Elephas maximus indicus: one gene and its partner. The protein of the gene in region 1 purifies or fractionates together with the protein of each later gene. This does not show direct contact. Links are inferred from orthologs where the notes say so. Each region holds a gene or a part of one and is shown on either strand. Other genes may lie near its edges.

What was found. The genes of interacting proteins can lie anywhere in the genome.
Region 2: the proteins of CDK7 (region 1) and ERCC2 purify together in Homo sapiens (affinity purification with mass spectrometry; 10 studies listed by BioGRID and IntAct, counting the BioPlex papers as one, with this or other methods). This does not show direct contact. The link is inferred for Elephas maximus indicus from reciprocal best matches to the Homo sapiens genes CDK7 and ERCC2.

The regions. Positions count from the first base shown.
Region 1 is NC_064820.1:74,677,483-74,685,771, reverse strand, and holds the start of CDK7 (cyclin-dependent kinase 7), read right to left. Parts: upstream 3,336-8,289; 5' UTR 3,225-3,335; coding exon 3,159-3,224; intron 2,840-3,158; coding exon 2,780-2,839; intron 1-2,779. UniProt on the Homo sapiens protein: Serine/threonine kinase involved in cell cycle control and in RNA polymerase II-mediated RNA transcription. Cyclin-dependent kinases (CDKs) are activated by the binding to a cyclin and mediate the progression through the cell cycle.
Region 2 is NC_064829.1:104,342,053-104,349,887, reverse strand, and holds the start of ERCC2 (general transcription and DNA repair factor IIH helicase subunit XPD), read right to left. Parts: upstream 3,273-7,835; 5' UTR 3,194-3,272; coding exon 3,189-3,193; intron 3,043-3,188; exon of another isoform or gene 2,981-3,042; intron 2,891-2,980; coding exon 2,791-2,890; intron 1,277-2,790; coding exon 1,199-1,276; intron 1,122-1,198; coding exon 1,059-1,121; intron 1-1,058. UniProt on the Homo sapiens protein: ATP-dependent 5'-3' DNA helicase. Component of the general transcription and DNA repair factor IIH (TFIIH) core complex, not absolutely essential for minimal transcription in vitro.

The sequences.
Region 1 (8,289 bases):
TACAATATGTGAATGATTTCAGAAGAGCTTATTTAATGATTTCCTTTTTTTGTAAAATAAATACACATGTGGGACATAATGTGGGATGGGGAAAAAAAGGTATACCTCAAATTGATGAACCTTAAGTTTCAGAGTTCGCTAAACCAAAAAAAAAAAAACTAAACCCACTGCCTGTGAATCGATTCCAACTCATAGCAACCCTAAAGGACAGACGAGAACTGCCCCATAGCGTTTCCAAGGAGCACCTGGTGGATTCAAACTGCTGACCTTTTGGTTTGCAGCCATAGTTCCTAACCACTACACCACCAGGGTTTCCTCAAAGTTGCATAGGAGAGAATTGACTTCTAAATTACACATTTTTGTATTGTTAGCCAAAAATTGCTATAAACTATATTTGTATATGGGTGAAACTGAAATATATGGGTGTTGAGAGGTGTAAGGATAAATCAGTGTTCACATCCCAACTGCAACTGTCCTGTGGAAATCTCAGAAAACCACTATTCTGTTACTAACTATGAAGATATAACAAATTCCCACTTTCCTTGTTCAGTTCTGATTCCAGCCACCCATATGGCACTTCTTTCTCTAACCCCAGCCACCTGGAGCTAGATAGATTTCACAACTTAAAAGGACACTGTCCTTTAGGCTGCCAAATAAGCACACACCAGATGAAAGCCTGGGGGTCTGCACCACACCCTTACTTCTGACTTGCTGGGCACAAAGTAGGGGTTTCCCCACTACCCCTTCAGGGAGCCAGCCGCAAGCTCAGGGGCCTCTCCTGGTCTCCCTCACTTTCACCTGCTGGCTCCCATTACTCCTTTGGGTTTGAAAATTTGCTGGAACAACTCACAGAAATTACTATCCTCACAATTACAGATTTGTTATCAAAAATAGACAGAAATCAGGATCAGCATAAAGAAGAGATGCCCAGGGCAAGGCTAGGGTGGGTTACCAACATGAAGCTTCCATGTTCCAAAACACATGCCACCCTCCCACATGTATCAATGTCTTTCATCAACCAGGACGCTCTTGGAACTTTTATGTCCACGGCCTTTACTGGCTTCATTGCATAGTCATGATTGGGGTCTCACTGAATATGCGTAATTGATTAAATCATACCACCCTCCCTCCCTCCCTGAGGTTAGCTGACCAGGTGGTCCTTGTGGCCTGGCCAGCCCCTTGACTCATTTGTACAAATCCTCAACTGTTGTCTGGAGGTTTTAGATAATAAAATCATCTTGATTACTCAGGAGATTCCAAGGGTTATCTCTCAGGAACCAAAGACAAAGGCCAAACTGAGTTCTTTGCCTCACAGGAGGGGAAGGTCCACAAGCACTAGATCCTCAATGTTCATAGTGGGAAGCATAGATAATGTCTAAAATTGAAAGGGGAAAAAAAAAGTTCAAGAAATAATAATACATAAACATATTGCTTAAAGATATGGTGGTAACACCAGAAGAAACAGGTGAGTCTAAAGTGTGTGCTCTGAGGAATGAAAACCTGGGTAAAGAGGAGTCAGGCAGGTTAAAATCCTGTTCTATTAACTGACTTTTAAAACTATAGGCATATATTATTTGAAATAAAGGTTAAACATAAAAGAAGATTCTACAAGTCACCTTCAAAGGAGAAAAGTCTATTACTGAAAAACAGATTCTAAGTCCTAATTTATGTTAAAAGCAAGCAAACAAAAAACGCCAAGCTACTAGGACTTTCAGACAACTATATAGCTCAATATGCCAACAATATGAATACATCATACTAGCTAGTCAGAGCCCTGGTGGTGCAGTGGTCAAGAGCTCAGCTGCTAACCAAAAGGTCGGCAGTTCAAATCCACCAGCCACTCCCTGGAAACCCTAGGGGGCGGTTCTGCTGTGTCCTACAGGGTCACTATTAGAACTGACTCTATTCTCGATTGCACCTATCAAGAACAACTAGTCAGTCTGGTCAATATATTTTGTTTTGTTTTTTACAAATGTGCCAGTCACAGCTCTACGCATAATGTAAGGGGAAGAAAACACAATAAACTCACAAATAAGAGAATTTTAGAATTTGATAAATGGTATGAAGATGACACAAGGAAATATGCCAAAGAATGACTGTGAAGGAGAGGGACACACCGGTTTTAGCTATAGTGGACAGGGAAGGCCTCTATGTGGAGGAGACATTTGAGTGAGACTCCAAAATAAGAAGGAATCAGTCATGCTACGTTCTGGGAGGGGAATGAATTTAATGTGTTAAAGGGACAGAAAGGTCAGTGTGGTGGAATATAGTGAACCAGGGGTAGAATCGAAAAGATGAAGTTTGAAAAGATCAGGAGAGTTTAGATGTTTTACAAAGGAGTGGCTATACTGTTGAGTCACAGAATGTATGCTGAATATGGCTTAAGTTTCTTAAATCAATGTGAGTTAAGCAAAAAAGCTATATAAATAATTTAAATATAATGCAACACACATTATTGCTAATGCTAGTGAAAGCCTTTCATGGTAACTCTGTCAGCAGAAAATAGACGGAACAGATGGGCAGTACTTGTCCTTTATATAACAACAAAGTTTATGTAGCAAAAATAATGTACAGTTTCTTCTTCACTTCAGTTTCATTTAATGGAACAACAAACTGGTTCAATCCCAGAGTTCTATCTTAGAAAACAATATCCCAATTCTATCGTCTCTGAAAATGACATAACTTATTAGCAGAGATCAAGAGTACTAAAACGGTCATCTATCAGCTCATAATACATTTTCAAAGAGACTTGAGAGAAATGACCCAAAGTGTAACTCACTTTTTTAATGGCGACAATTTGATTGGTGTTCTTGTCTCTGGCCTTGTAAACTGTGGCGAACTAGACAGAAAACAGAAATAACATATGAGTTTATGGAGTTTTCTTGTAATTGCCTTTTTACTTTTTTACATTTTGGGAAGCACAGGGCCGCTAGAAATGTGGTGGGATACTCCACGTCTGTTCTTCGGAAGGGAGGGGGCTGCTCAGGGGTCACCTCTAGGGTGTAAAGAGAAGGGTAGCACGCGCGGCTGGGCCGCCTCCACCAAGGAGAACAAGCAGCCAGGCCAGTCCGCTGGTCCCACGCGAAAATCCGCGAGGGTCTGAGGCGGCACTGTGCTCTCCGCTCCGGGCCCTCCCAATCCCAGCACGAGACCCTCACCTGTCCCTCTCCGAGAAAGTCCAGTTTCTCATAACGCTTTGCTCGCGACTTCACGTCCAAAGCCATTCGGCGCGTGAAGCCTGACTCCGAAAACGTAAGGCTCCAAAAACCAAGCGAATTTAAAGCTACCTCAGAGGCTCCCACAGCCTCTTCCGTTCACTGGACTCCCACACTGTAGTAGCCCCGCCCCACTTCCGGGATGGGCGGGGTACTGCTAAGTGGATACCAGCGGGGTCCGCCCTCCGGAAGCTGCATGAGACCCGGCTGATTGGCTGGGCTGTACCGCCCCCGCCTTGCGACGTAGTCTACTCCGGGTTCCGCGAAAGGAGTGTATCTGATGGTGGCTGTTTGCGTCACCCTTTTACAGTTCTTAATTTGGGTCTTTTCTTAGCTACTGGAGACAGGTCGGCGTTCGGATTTGGTGTTCTCAGTTCGGAATTTGGTAGGTGTGTGTGAGTGTGGGAGGCTTGTCCTTTTCCTTGATCTCCCTTTGTAGCTAGTTCATGATCGTGTATGGCCTCGCCACGGTTGCTATGGACGCCAAGCTCCGCGATCACAGGTTACTTAACCAGGTGTCACTTTCTTAGGGACTGGTCTAGAGGCATTCTTAGTCCAGTTCATTTATAAAGCAGGTCTAAAAATTCAACTCAGTTGAAACGTGCTGTGATCCTCAATTCTCTACCCTTTAAACTGGAAATCATAATAGACTACATCATAGGATGGTGAGGATTAGATGAAACACTTAGAAAGTTTAGACACGTAAGTGCTCTGTGTGTTATCTGTGATAAATACCCAACTTCTAGATCCCTATCAATTTTCATACAAATCAACAAAATAAAGTTAACATATTAACTCATTGAAATAATATGTAATTGAGTGCTTACTATGTGCCAGGCACTGGTGTAGACTTTGAGAAATCAGCAAGGAACAAAACAAAAATCAGCATTCCAGTGGGAGAAACAGGTAATAAGCAAAATATGTTAAGATACTTAGTGATAAGTGCTATGGAGATAATAAGGGAGTGTTATTTTAAATAGGGTGGTTGAGGAAAAACATCATGAAAAGCCATTGGAGGATTTTGAGTAGATAAAAGATATGATCCGACTTCTTTTAAAAGGTTTACTTTGGTTGTTGTGAGAGACTAGATTTAGAGGAGCAAGGTCTGTTAGAGAATTTCAGATTCTCATGGAATCCAGACTTCTGGGCCACTGAGCCTGGGTGAAGCCTTGAAACTATTGTCCTAAGATAACCTTTAAACCTAAATTATAATCCCCTGAAGTCTTCTTCAAACCAAACAACAGGTTAGCTTACTCAGAAAGAATGTCTGCCTTCAGCATTGTGCTCTTTTAAAAAAACTATATGGGATCAAATTGACAACAGCAACTCCAGAGGTTAAATAGGAAGTTTAGGGAGCAGTGACTTCATGTCAATGGGGGAGGAACAATTCAGAAAAGGAGAGTGAGAATGGTTGCACAACTTGAAGAATGTAATCATTGTCACTGAATTGTAGATGTAGAAATTGTTGAATTGGTGTATTGCTGTGTATACTTTCAAGAATAAAAAAATAAAGTAGTAATTTAAAAAAGGTCTCTTAAAGAGTTATTACAGTAATCCAGATGGCTGGTTTGGTTTTTAGCAGATAAGATTTATAGATACACTGGATATTGGAGGGGGGCGATTTTAAGGTTTTGAGCTTGAGCTGCTATAAAGATGGAAAGGTTTACCCCCTTGTCTTTGCATTTGATGTTTCTAGGAGTTAAGAATGCTATCTTCAGAGATGTGTTGAAGAAGGCAGCAGAATTACCAAGGGTAATTTTGTAGTCGAGGTAGTATAGTGTAGAGGCTGAGTTCTTACTTTGAAACCAGACTGTTTGCAATTTAATACTGTCCTCACCAGTATTCAATCACTAGATGTTTGACTTGGGGAAATTACTAAACTTTTCTGTGCCTAGTTTCTTCTCTGTAATAGGACTGGCTTATAGTGTGTTCATACTTATAAAAGCCCTTAGTGTCTGACAGCTGAGTGCTCAGTTTATATTGACCATTCCTGTCATTGGTCACCTTTAAGCCCTTTGTCACTACTTGGGTTTTTATTGAGCTGATGCACTCAGGCATAATTTCTTGTATTACAGAAGACATACCAACTTTAACACTGCTAACTCTTTTACTTGTGGCAAGTAATACCTCGTGATGCATGGTGTCACATGACTAGGTCAAAGTTCCTTCTGACAGACATCACTGTAACAGTAATCTACCTAAACTTGAAGCAGAAATAAGCTAAATAATGAGCTAAATTTGATGGTGCACCTGTGAGGCTCCCAAGCGTACTGTGGTATAGGAGTTCATAACTGCAGCATTATAACCATGCTACTAAGTAAATTCCTATTTGGGGACATTTTAGATGATATTCTGGGGTAATGTGGTCATATGTATAAAATACTGTTCAGCATTTGTATATCATTTTGCATTTTACAAAGTGCTTTCACGTATCTGTAGTAGCCAGCTTCCAAGATGGCCTCCGGTGATCTTTGCCTTCTGGTATTAATGCACTTGTGTAGTCTTCTCCCGCAGCAAAACAGACTGTGTGACCAGTGAAGTATGGCAGAAGTGACTTTGTGTGACTTCTGAGGATGGGTCATAAAAGGCATTGCTACTTCTACCTTGCATGCTGTGGAGGAAGTCAGCCACCATATGAATTCACTCAGTCCTGTGGAGAGGCCTACATGGAAAGAACTGAAGCTTCCTGCTAATGACCAGCACCAACTTGCTAGCCATATGACTGAGCCACCTTGGGCATTTATCATCTAGCCCCAGCCAAGCCTTCATATGACTGCAGCCCCAGGTGGCATCTGATTGCAGCCTCACAAGACACTAAGAACTGTCCAGCCAAACTGCTCCTGTGTTTCTCTGTGTCAGAAGTGTGCTAGGGATTGAATTGTGTCCCCCTCCCCCCACCAAATATGTGTTGAAATCCTAACCACTGTACCTGTAGATAAGACCCTGTTTGAAAATAGGGGGTTTTCTTTTGTTATGTTAATGTCATGCCAATATAGGCTGAATCCTATACCTAATCACTTTGAGTTATAAAAAGACCAGAATAGATAAGACACACACACACACTCAGAAGACAGACACCAAGGAACACCAAGGAATGCCAAGGATTGCTGGTACACACCAGAAACTGAAGGGCTCAGAGAAGGAACTGACACAGCTGAGATCCTGATTTGGACTTTTAGTCTCCAAAACTGTGAGAAAATAAAATTCTGTTCTTTAAAACCACCTATCTGTGGTATTTGTGTCACAGCAGCACTAGGTAACCAAGTCAAAGTGATTATTGTTGTTTTAAGTTCACTCCATCAGTTTCTGTCTACAGGATCAATAATAGATTCCAAAAAAAAACAAAAAAAAAATGGTCCTGGGCTTCCTTTCACTGAAATAAAAAAACTAAGGGGTATAAAATAAAATTGTAAGTTTTGCTTTATGAAAACAGAGGTCTCTTGTCCATGACACTAAAGGTTATCTTACTAAATGTTAGAAACCTATGTGTTGTGTAATTATATATATTTATATATATATCTTAAAGCTTATAGTTATGCCTTGAACTGTAACTAACTTTTAGAAGCAGCTTGTTGAGTTTCACATAATTGTATTTAGGTGATCAGGCTCACTGAACCACTTGAAATTTGATTCTTTCAGAAAACAATTAAAGATTAATGGACAAGTCCTGTTTCCAAGACTCCAGAGGTCTTAAAGCCATGGCTCACTGATCTGTGATTGTCTTAGTACGGTTTCTATCTAAGCTTTGACAATGTTTGAGCACATACTGCTCTCTTATAAGATCTACGTATTCTGATATAATCTCAGCTGGTAACAATTTTTCTTCAAAATTCCTGATGAAATTATATATAAGTACCCTGAAAATCTTTTACTTAACTGGAGCACTGATGTACTGAGTAATGACATGTTGCCCAACTTTAAAGTTGTCTATTAAACCTGCACAGCAATCTGTTAATGGCGGTCTGAGTTATTTATTTTGACAGGGGAAAAAAGAATAATGCTAGTTAGAAAAAAAAAATGCTTTTCCAAAAACATTTTTTAAATAATAAAAAGGAATTACGAACCATATATTTTTCATGAGTTACCATTACAACTTATGTTATCAACATACTGCAAGCATCAAACCCTTATCTGATATTTGAGTTGGGCAACACTTACAGTGGGCCACAATACAGAATTTACACCAGCAGCAGTTCAACACTGGCAGGATACAGGAAAGTATAGATTAACTCACAGAATATAGAAATGTATTCAACAACAATTCTACTTTGTCTATTGCTCATGAGCTACCCTTACTATTGACTTCTTTAAGGCATATTCTAAAAATCACCAAAGGTATGTAAGAGAATTCATTTGGCTTTGTGAGGCTTTACTTTCACAATACATACCCTTGGGGCAGGAAAACCTTATTAAATTTTCACAAATTACCTTAAATAAGATAAGTATTAAGTTGATTTTATGAGGCTTTCAGAAACGTTTGAGAAAGTTACTGGTTATCAGGATTTGCACACGTGATCACATGAAAACAATAAAATAAACCAAAGAACAAGACTTTTTAACAGCCCTCAAAACTTAATAAATTACAATTTCTAGTCAAACGTTTATTCCTATGCTGTGGTCATTTTGGCCTCGATTTATTTTCCATTTTGTACTCTTTGACATTTTTTCTGAGTATAGGTTACAAACAATCTTTTGTGTTATCTCCAATCTCAGTACCAAAAAGTCACCTGTTTTACCTTGGCTATGTTCTTACCCTTTACAGTAGGATACACTTACTAAGCTAGCTATATTCCAGTAACTCTGTGAATGAAAAATGTTACAGGATCAAAAACAAATAATGGAGTAGTATTTCACTGATCCTCATCCAATCTCAGGAAAATCACTTCCCTAAAGCAGCAATTTTGCCTGATAAATTCTCTCTAAATAGAAACCAGAAAAAATGTGTAATTATAGGAAACCTCTGAAAGTTTACTAGACATCGTGTGCTTTTAATAGTTCAACACTGGTAATACTTAATAATGAAGAGTAAATTAATAGGCTAACATTTAAAAATGTATACTTTCATAAGTATAAA
Region 2 (7,835 bases), on another chromosome or scaffold:
AACAGCATGAAACGCTGCCTGGTCCTGTACCGTCCTCACAGCCATTGCTACATTTGAGCTCACGGTTGCAGCCACTGTGTTAATCCACCTCATCGAAGGTCTTCTTCTTTTTCAATGACCCTCTACTTTCCCAAGCATGTCCTTCTCCAGGGTCTGGTCCCTCCTGATAACATGTCCAAAGTAAGTGAGACAAAGTCTCGCCATCCTTGCTTCTAAGGAGCACTCTGGCTGTAGTTCTTCCAAGACAGATTCGTTTGTTCTTCTGGCGGTCCGTGGTATGGCCGACATTCTTCGCCAACACCATAATTCAAACGCATCAATTCTTCTTTGGTCTTCTTTATTCATTGCCCAGTTTTCGCATGCATATGAGGCAACTGAAAATACCATGGCTTGGGTCAGGTGCACTTTACTCCTTAAAGTGCCATCTTTGCCTTTTAACGCGTTAAAAATATATGTAATGTAATTAAGGTCAGCATCAGTTGCTGTCCAGCTGATTCTGACTCATGGCACCCCCATGTGTATCCGAGTGCAACTCTGCTCCACAAGGTTTTCAATGGCTGATTTTTCAGATGCAGGTCACCAGGCCTTTCTTCTGAGGCGCCTCTGGGCGGACTTGAACCTCTAACCTTTTGGTTAGCAGCCAAGCGTGTTAATCATTTGCACAACCCAGGGATTCCTAATTTAATGAAATGAACTTCCATAATCTTATCTAATCTAATGTAATTAATCAATCAATTGAGGTCATATCAGTGCAAGATAGAGCCTAAACCTAATCACCCCTGAGTTATAAAAAGACCAGAATAGACACAGCAACTCACACACACACAGGGGAAGATAGATGACGTGTGAGAATCACCTACAAGTAAAGGAACATCAAGAATCGCTAGCATACACCAGAACTGTAAGAGACCTTCGCAGAAGGAATCGACATGGCCAAGACCCTGACCTGGGCTTTTCGCCTCCAGAACTGTGAGAAAATAAATAGCTGTTCTTTAAAGCCGCCCAATTGTGGTATTTCTGTTATGGCAGCACGAGGAAACTAAGACACCCCGGCTCACCTTCTCAATCTCGGGCACAGTCCTCGAGCAGTAGATGAGTTTGGTCACCTCCAGCGGATATGCCTGCCAATGACAAGCAGGCTCAGCCCCCACCCAGCCTCTACCCGATACCCTCTCCATGGGCCCAGTGGGTCACTTACCCGCTGGTACGCCATGATCAGAGCCAACAGAGACACTGTCTTCCCAGTGCCCGAGGGCATCTCCAGGACTCCATGACCCTATGCGTTGGGGGTAGGAGGGACAAGATACAGGCTCTCAGAACCTTGGGGGCACAATCTCTAGGGATGCTGCCCCCCTCCCTCCAAGAAGACTGCCATCAGCACAGTAGTTAATAGTTTGGACCCGGGAGGGGAGAGGGGTTGAATCCTACTTCTGCCACCTCTTTACTGAGTGGTTTCAGGCAAGTGCCTTCACCTCTCTGGACCTCAGTATCCTCATCTCTAAAATGGGTCCATAAAGGTCTTCCTCATATCATGATTGTGAAGATTAACGACAAATTGTAAGCTAATGATTTACCATGGTATCTGATATATAGTGAGCCCATTTTTTCCTGCAGCTTAGCAAACACTTCCACAGCACTTCCTTGGTGCCTGGCACTGCTGTAGATGCCTCATATCCTGCTCTACTGACATCTGGGGCCGGATAATACTTAGCTGTGGGGCAGCTGTCCTTGCACTGTGGAATGTTTGGCAGCGTCCCTGGCTTCTACCCACTAGAAACAATAGCGCCCCACCCCACAACTAGTATGGCGAGGAAGAATATCTCTAGACATTGCCAATTGTTCTCCGGGGGTCAAAATCCACCCCTGCCTTACTGTATTAATCCATTTCACCCTCACGACAACCTATGAGGTAGGCATTATTAAAAGCAGTTGTCCTCAAGTAGACTCTGACTCATGCCGACCCTGTGTGTATCCCGGTAGCACTGTGCTTCACAGGGTTTTCAATGGCTGACTTTTTGGAAGTAGGTCACCAGGCCTTTCTCCCAGGGTGCCTCTGGGTGCACTTGAACCTCCAATTTTTCAGTTAGACAGCTGAGCAAGTCACCTATTTGCACCACCCAGGGACTTCAAGTACTGTACTATTACTATGTCCCTTTTACAGGGGCACCAGAACAGGGAGGTTAATAACTTGCCCAAGGTCACACAGCTGGTAGACTGTGAATCCGGGGTTTCAATCCAGGGAGCCAGCTCCAGTGTCTATGGATCTCTACGCACCGGGATGTCTGGCCTTTAATAAATGTTGCTGCTAAGTGCTATGGAGTTCTGACTCATAGCGACCCTATGTACAACAGAACGAAAACTACCTGATCCTATGCCATTCTCAGAATCGTTGCTATGCTTGACCTAATAAATATTAAAAAAAAAAAAAAACTTTTTTTTTTTTTTTTTTAGCTACTATTATTAACTGGAAGTCCTGGTGGCACAGTGGTTAAGAGCTCGGCTGCTAACCAAAAGGTTGACAGTTATAATCCACCACCAGCTTCTTGAAAACCCCACGGAGCAGTTCTACTCTGTCCTATAGGGTCCCTATGAGTCGAAATCAACGGCAACGGGTATTATTAACTATTATTATTTCAGATGGCAGGTGGCTTTGGAGTCCTAGATTCCCAAGGACCTCAGGTTTCTAAAATCCTGGGGTCTTGGCTATCTAGACGTCCTCCAACCTCAGTCGCAGACCCACGCGTGACGGCCCCACCTGTTAAGCAGGCAGCGGCCGCCCGGCCTACTCACTTTGGCATCCAGAGTGCGTTTGAGCTCCAGCATGTAGGAGAACTGCTCCGGGTAGATGTAGTCGTAGGGGAAATAGACCAGCAGGCCGTCCACGTTGAGCCTATTGGTGGGGGCTGCTGGGTCAGTGTCCTCCCCCTCAGGCCCCCTCCAAGCCCCCGCGCTCTCCGGCCGTCGAGCCAAGGGCAGTTACCTGCCGGTCCCCCCGGGTATCCCGCCAGTTCCCAAGGAGCCTCCGGGTCTCCCCGCTGACCATCCCCGTTACCACCCCGCCGGCCCCGCGGTTACCCCATCCCATCTCTTCAGCCACCCCTCGCCCTGCTGGGGACCCCACACGCTCCCCCCCATCTTTCAGCCCCCTGCGGCCGTTCTCCAGCCGCGGTCCCCGGCCCCACTCTCACTTCATGGCGCCGGCCAAGGCGTGCAGCGGCGTCGATCCGCCTCCCTCATGAATATTCAGCGAGAGACCGGGTCCGTGGGACGTCCGCCCCACCTTCCTCACGATCCCACTGGCTGATCCCGCCCGTGACGCTACTGGGGCGGAGCCAGTGGGAATACTGCGCGCATGCGCAAGGCCTGAGCAGGCGGGCTCCGGAGAGATAGGCGGTGCCCAAGGCGTCGCTGAGGATCACCGAGGACAAAGAACAAAACATGGAAGGAGGAGAGCCGAGAGAATCGATCTCACCCAAAACATTCGTTTTCCAGCATCTGCCAAAGTGTCACAGCAGAGAATAGAGACTAGAAGAAAATAACAGGGAAATTGGAGACTCCTTGGTGGCCCACATGTTAGGAATGGCTTAACTGCATCAGACGAGCATACATTTATAAAGTTCCTGCTGTGTCCTAGACTCCTGTGGAATAAATAACTATCCATTTATTGAGCACCTACTATTTGCCAGATACTGTCGCTATGAGTTGGAATCAACTTGATGGCAGTGGGTTTGGTGGGTTTTTTTGTGGTTTGGTACAAGCCTTTAGAGGACCCCTGGTGATGTAGTGTTTAAACGCTCAGCTGTTAATGGTTGCAACCCACCAGCCACTCCGCAGGAGGAAGATGTGGCAATCTTAAAGATCGCAGCCTTGGAAACCCTATGGGACAGTTCTGCTATGTCCATTAGGGTTACTATGAAGCGGGACTTACTCGATGGCAACGGGTTATGGGGTTATGAATTACCGGGAGACCTCGTTAAAATGCCGATTCGGATTGTTGAGGCGGGAGTGGGCCTGAGATTCCGCATTTCTTATCCACTCCCAGGAGGTGTCAGTGATCTGGTCTTCAGACTACACTGTGAGTTGTGAAGGTCTACACTTTCTCTTAGCACTCCCCAGTGGGACTGAGCCCCAGTTGTCTAAAATACCTTTTCAGAAGCTTTCTTCTGGTCTCACTTTTCCACTCCCTCTAAAAGCAGTCACCTTCCAAATAAACTGTTGTTATTAGCTGCCGTTGAGTTGGCCCCCAACATTGGCAACCCCGTCCACGAAGGAACTAAACGCTGCCTGGTCCTGCATCACCCCCATAATCAGTGGTAGATGAAACTGTTGTGATTCACAAGGTTTTCACTGACTGATTTTTATATCCATAGAATTTATTCTATTTTTGTTGTTGTTGTTGAGAATATACACAGCAGAGCATATACAAATTCAACAATTTCTACAGGTACAATTCAGTGACATTGATAACATTCTCCAAGTTGTGCAGCCATTCTCAAGCTCCTTTTCTGAATTATTTCTCCCCCAGTAACACAAGCTCATTGCCTCCTAAGTTTCTGCATCTAATCTTCCAAGTTGCTGTTGTCAATTTGATCCCATATAGATAGATATTAAAAGTGCACAATGCTCAGAGCAGACATTCTTTACTAGTTAACCTATTGTCTGTCTTGAAGAAGGTGACAGGTTATTTTTGTTTTAAGGTTTAAAGTTTATCTCAAGGCAATAGTTTCAGGGCTTCATCCAGCCTCCATGGATCCAGGAAGTCCGGATTCCATGACAATTTGAAATTCTGTCCTGCATTTCCCCTCTTTTGATCAGAATTCTTCTACAGAATCTTTGATCAAAATGTTCACTAATGATAACTGGGTAGCATTCAGTTCTTCTGGTCTCAGGGCAAAGGAGTCATTGGCTGATATTTGGAAGTAGATTGCCAGGCCTTTCTTCGTAGCCCATCTTAGTCTGGAAGTTCTGCTGAAACCTGCTTAGCATCATAGCACCATACAAGCCTCAGTGACAGCCTCCACTGTGGTGGCTGCACATGAGGTACATTGGCAGGGCATTGAATCGAATCGGGTTTCCTGCATGGAAGGTGAGAATTCTACCACTGCATCACCAATGTCTCATCCCAATAAACTACATGTTCTCAAAAATAGAAAAAGGACTTTGCAGATGTGATGAAGTTCAGAATGTTAAGATGGGGAGATGATCCTGGATTATCCAGGGGGGCCCTCAACATAATCACAAGAGCTCTTCTAAGAGATTCCCCAGCAGGAAAGAGACAGAAGGCAATGTGACCACTGAAGCAAGATGCTACCCAGACGGCTCTGAAGATGGAAGAAGGCATCACAAGCCAAGGAATGTAAGGAATGAAATCCTGGAGGCTAGAAAGGGCAAGGAAACAGATTCTCCCCTAGAGACCCTGGAAGTAGCTCAGCTCTATTGCCATCTTGATCTCGGCCCAGTGAGATTGATTTTGGACTTCTGGCCTCCAGAAAGGTAAGAGGATAAATGTGTGATGTTTTACACCACCAAGTTTATGGTAACCCCTCCTGCTTTAGTTTCTTTCCGTAACAGTGATCACCATCTGATATAACAGCTATTTTGCTTTTTTTTTTTTTTTGTCTATTTCCTTCCCTGACTGGAATGTCAGCTCTACAAAAGCAGGGACTTTTTTTTTTCTTAATTGTAAAAAATACATGTAACACAACATTTGCCAGTTCAATGTTTTATCTGTGTACAGTTTAGTGACGCCAGTTACATTAATTGTGTTGTGCAGCCATCACCAGTATCCATTGTCAAATTTTCCATCACCATCACAGAAACTCAATGCTCCCTAAGCAATGACTCCCTCTTTCCCCCTCTCTCCTGTCCCTCGGAACCACTAATAAACTTTGGTCTCTATAGTTGCCTATTCTAGAGAGCTCATATAAGTGAGATCATACAAATATTTGCCCTTTCATGATTGACTAATTTCACTCAGCATGTTTTCAAGGTTCATCCATGTTGTGGCGTGCATCAGGACTTCATTTCTATTCACGGCTGGGTGGTATTCCACTGTGTGTATGTACCACATTTTGTTTCTCCATTCATGTATTGATGGATATTTTGGTTGTTTCCACCTTTTGGCTATTGTGAAAAGTGCTGCAATGAACATTGATGTACAGGTTTCTGTGTGTTCCTGCCTTTGCTTCTTCTGGAATATAGCTAGGATTGAGATTACCAGGTCATACGGTAGTTCTATGTTCAGTTTTTTAAGGAACTGCCAAAGAATGCGAAGAATGGAAATTCCAGAACACTTAATTGTGCTCATGAGGAACCTTTACACAGATCAAGAGGCAGTTGTTCAGACAGAACAAGGGGATACTGACTGGTCTAAAGTTAGGAAAAGTGTATGTCAGGGTTGTATTCTTTCACCATACCTATTCAATCTGTATGCTGAGCAAATAATACGAGAAGCTGGACCATATGAAGAATGGGGCATCAGGATTGGAGGAAGACTCATTAACAACCTGCGTTATGCAGATGACACAACCTTGCTTGCTGAAAGTGAAGAGTACTTGAAGCACTTACTAATGAAGATCAAAGACCACAGACTTCAGTATGGATTACACCTCAACATAAAGAAAACAAAAAGCCTCCCAACTGGACCAATGAGCAACATCATGATAAGCAGAGAAAAGATTGAAGTTGTCAAGGATTTCGTTTTACTTGGATCCACAATCAACTGCCATGGAAGCAGCAGTTGAGAAATCGAAAGATGCATTGCATTGGGCAAATCTGCTGCAAAGGACCTCTCAAAAGTGTTGAAGAGCAAAGATGTCACCTTGAAGATTAAGGTGCACCTGACCCAAGCCATGGTATTTTCAATCACATCGTATGCGTGTGAAAGCTGGACAATGAATAAGGAAGACCGAAGAAGAATTGATGCCTTTGAATTGTGGTGTTGGTGAGGAATATTGAATATACCATGGACTCCCAAAAGAATGAACAAATCTGTCTTGGAAGAAGTACAACCAGAATGCTCCTTAGAAGCAAGGATGGCGAGACTGCATCTTACACACTTTGGACATGTTGTCAGGAGGGATCAATCCCTGGAGAAGGACATCATGCTTGGCAAAGTACAAGGTCAGTGGAAAAGAGGAAGACCCTCAACGAGGTGGATTGACACAGTGGCTGCAACAATGGACCCAAGCATAATGATTGTAAAGATGGTGCAGGACCGGGCAGTGTTTCGTTCTGTTGTGCATGGGGTCGCTATGGGTTGGAACTGACTCGGCAGCACCTAACAAGAACAACAGCCAAACTGTTTTTCACAGGAGCTGCACCGTTTTACATTCCCATCAGTGATGGAGTTGTCTTAGGCTAGGCTCTCTAGAGAAGCAAAACCAATGCAGCATATAAATATATAGAGAGATTTATATAATGGAAATTGTTCATGTGGCTGTACAGGGTAGAAAGTCTCAAGTTCATGGGTTAAGACGGAGGCTTCTCCTGACTCACGTAGTCACAGGGGGCTGGCAAATCCAAGATCAGAAGATCAGATAGGAGGCCTCTGGCTCACAGGCTGTGGAGGCTGACAAATCCCAAGACTGGCAGGTAAGACAGCAGGTAAACTGCTAGCTCAAGTCCCAAGAACCAAAGGTCAGACAAACAGGAACCAGCTGCATGATCCATAGTTTGCAAAAACCAGTGAGCCTTGCCCGAAAGTCCTCCTATATTGGATACAGGCCACACCCCCAAGAAAAATCCCTTTCAACTGATTGGCTGCGCACAACAGATCTCATCATGGAGGTGATCATATTACGTCAAATCTCATTATGGAGGTGATTACATCATTA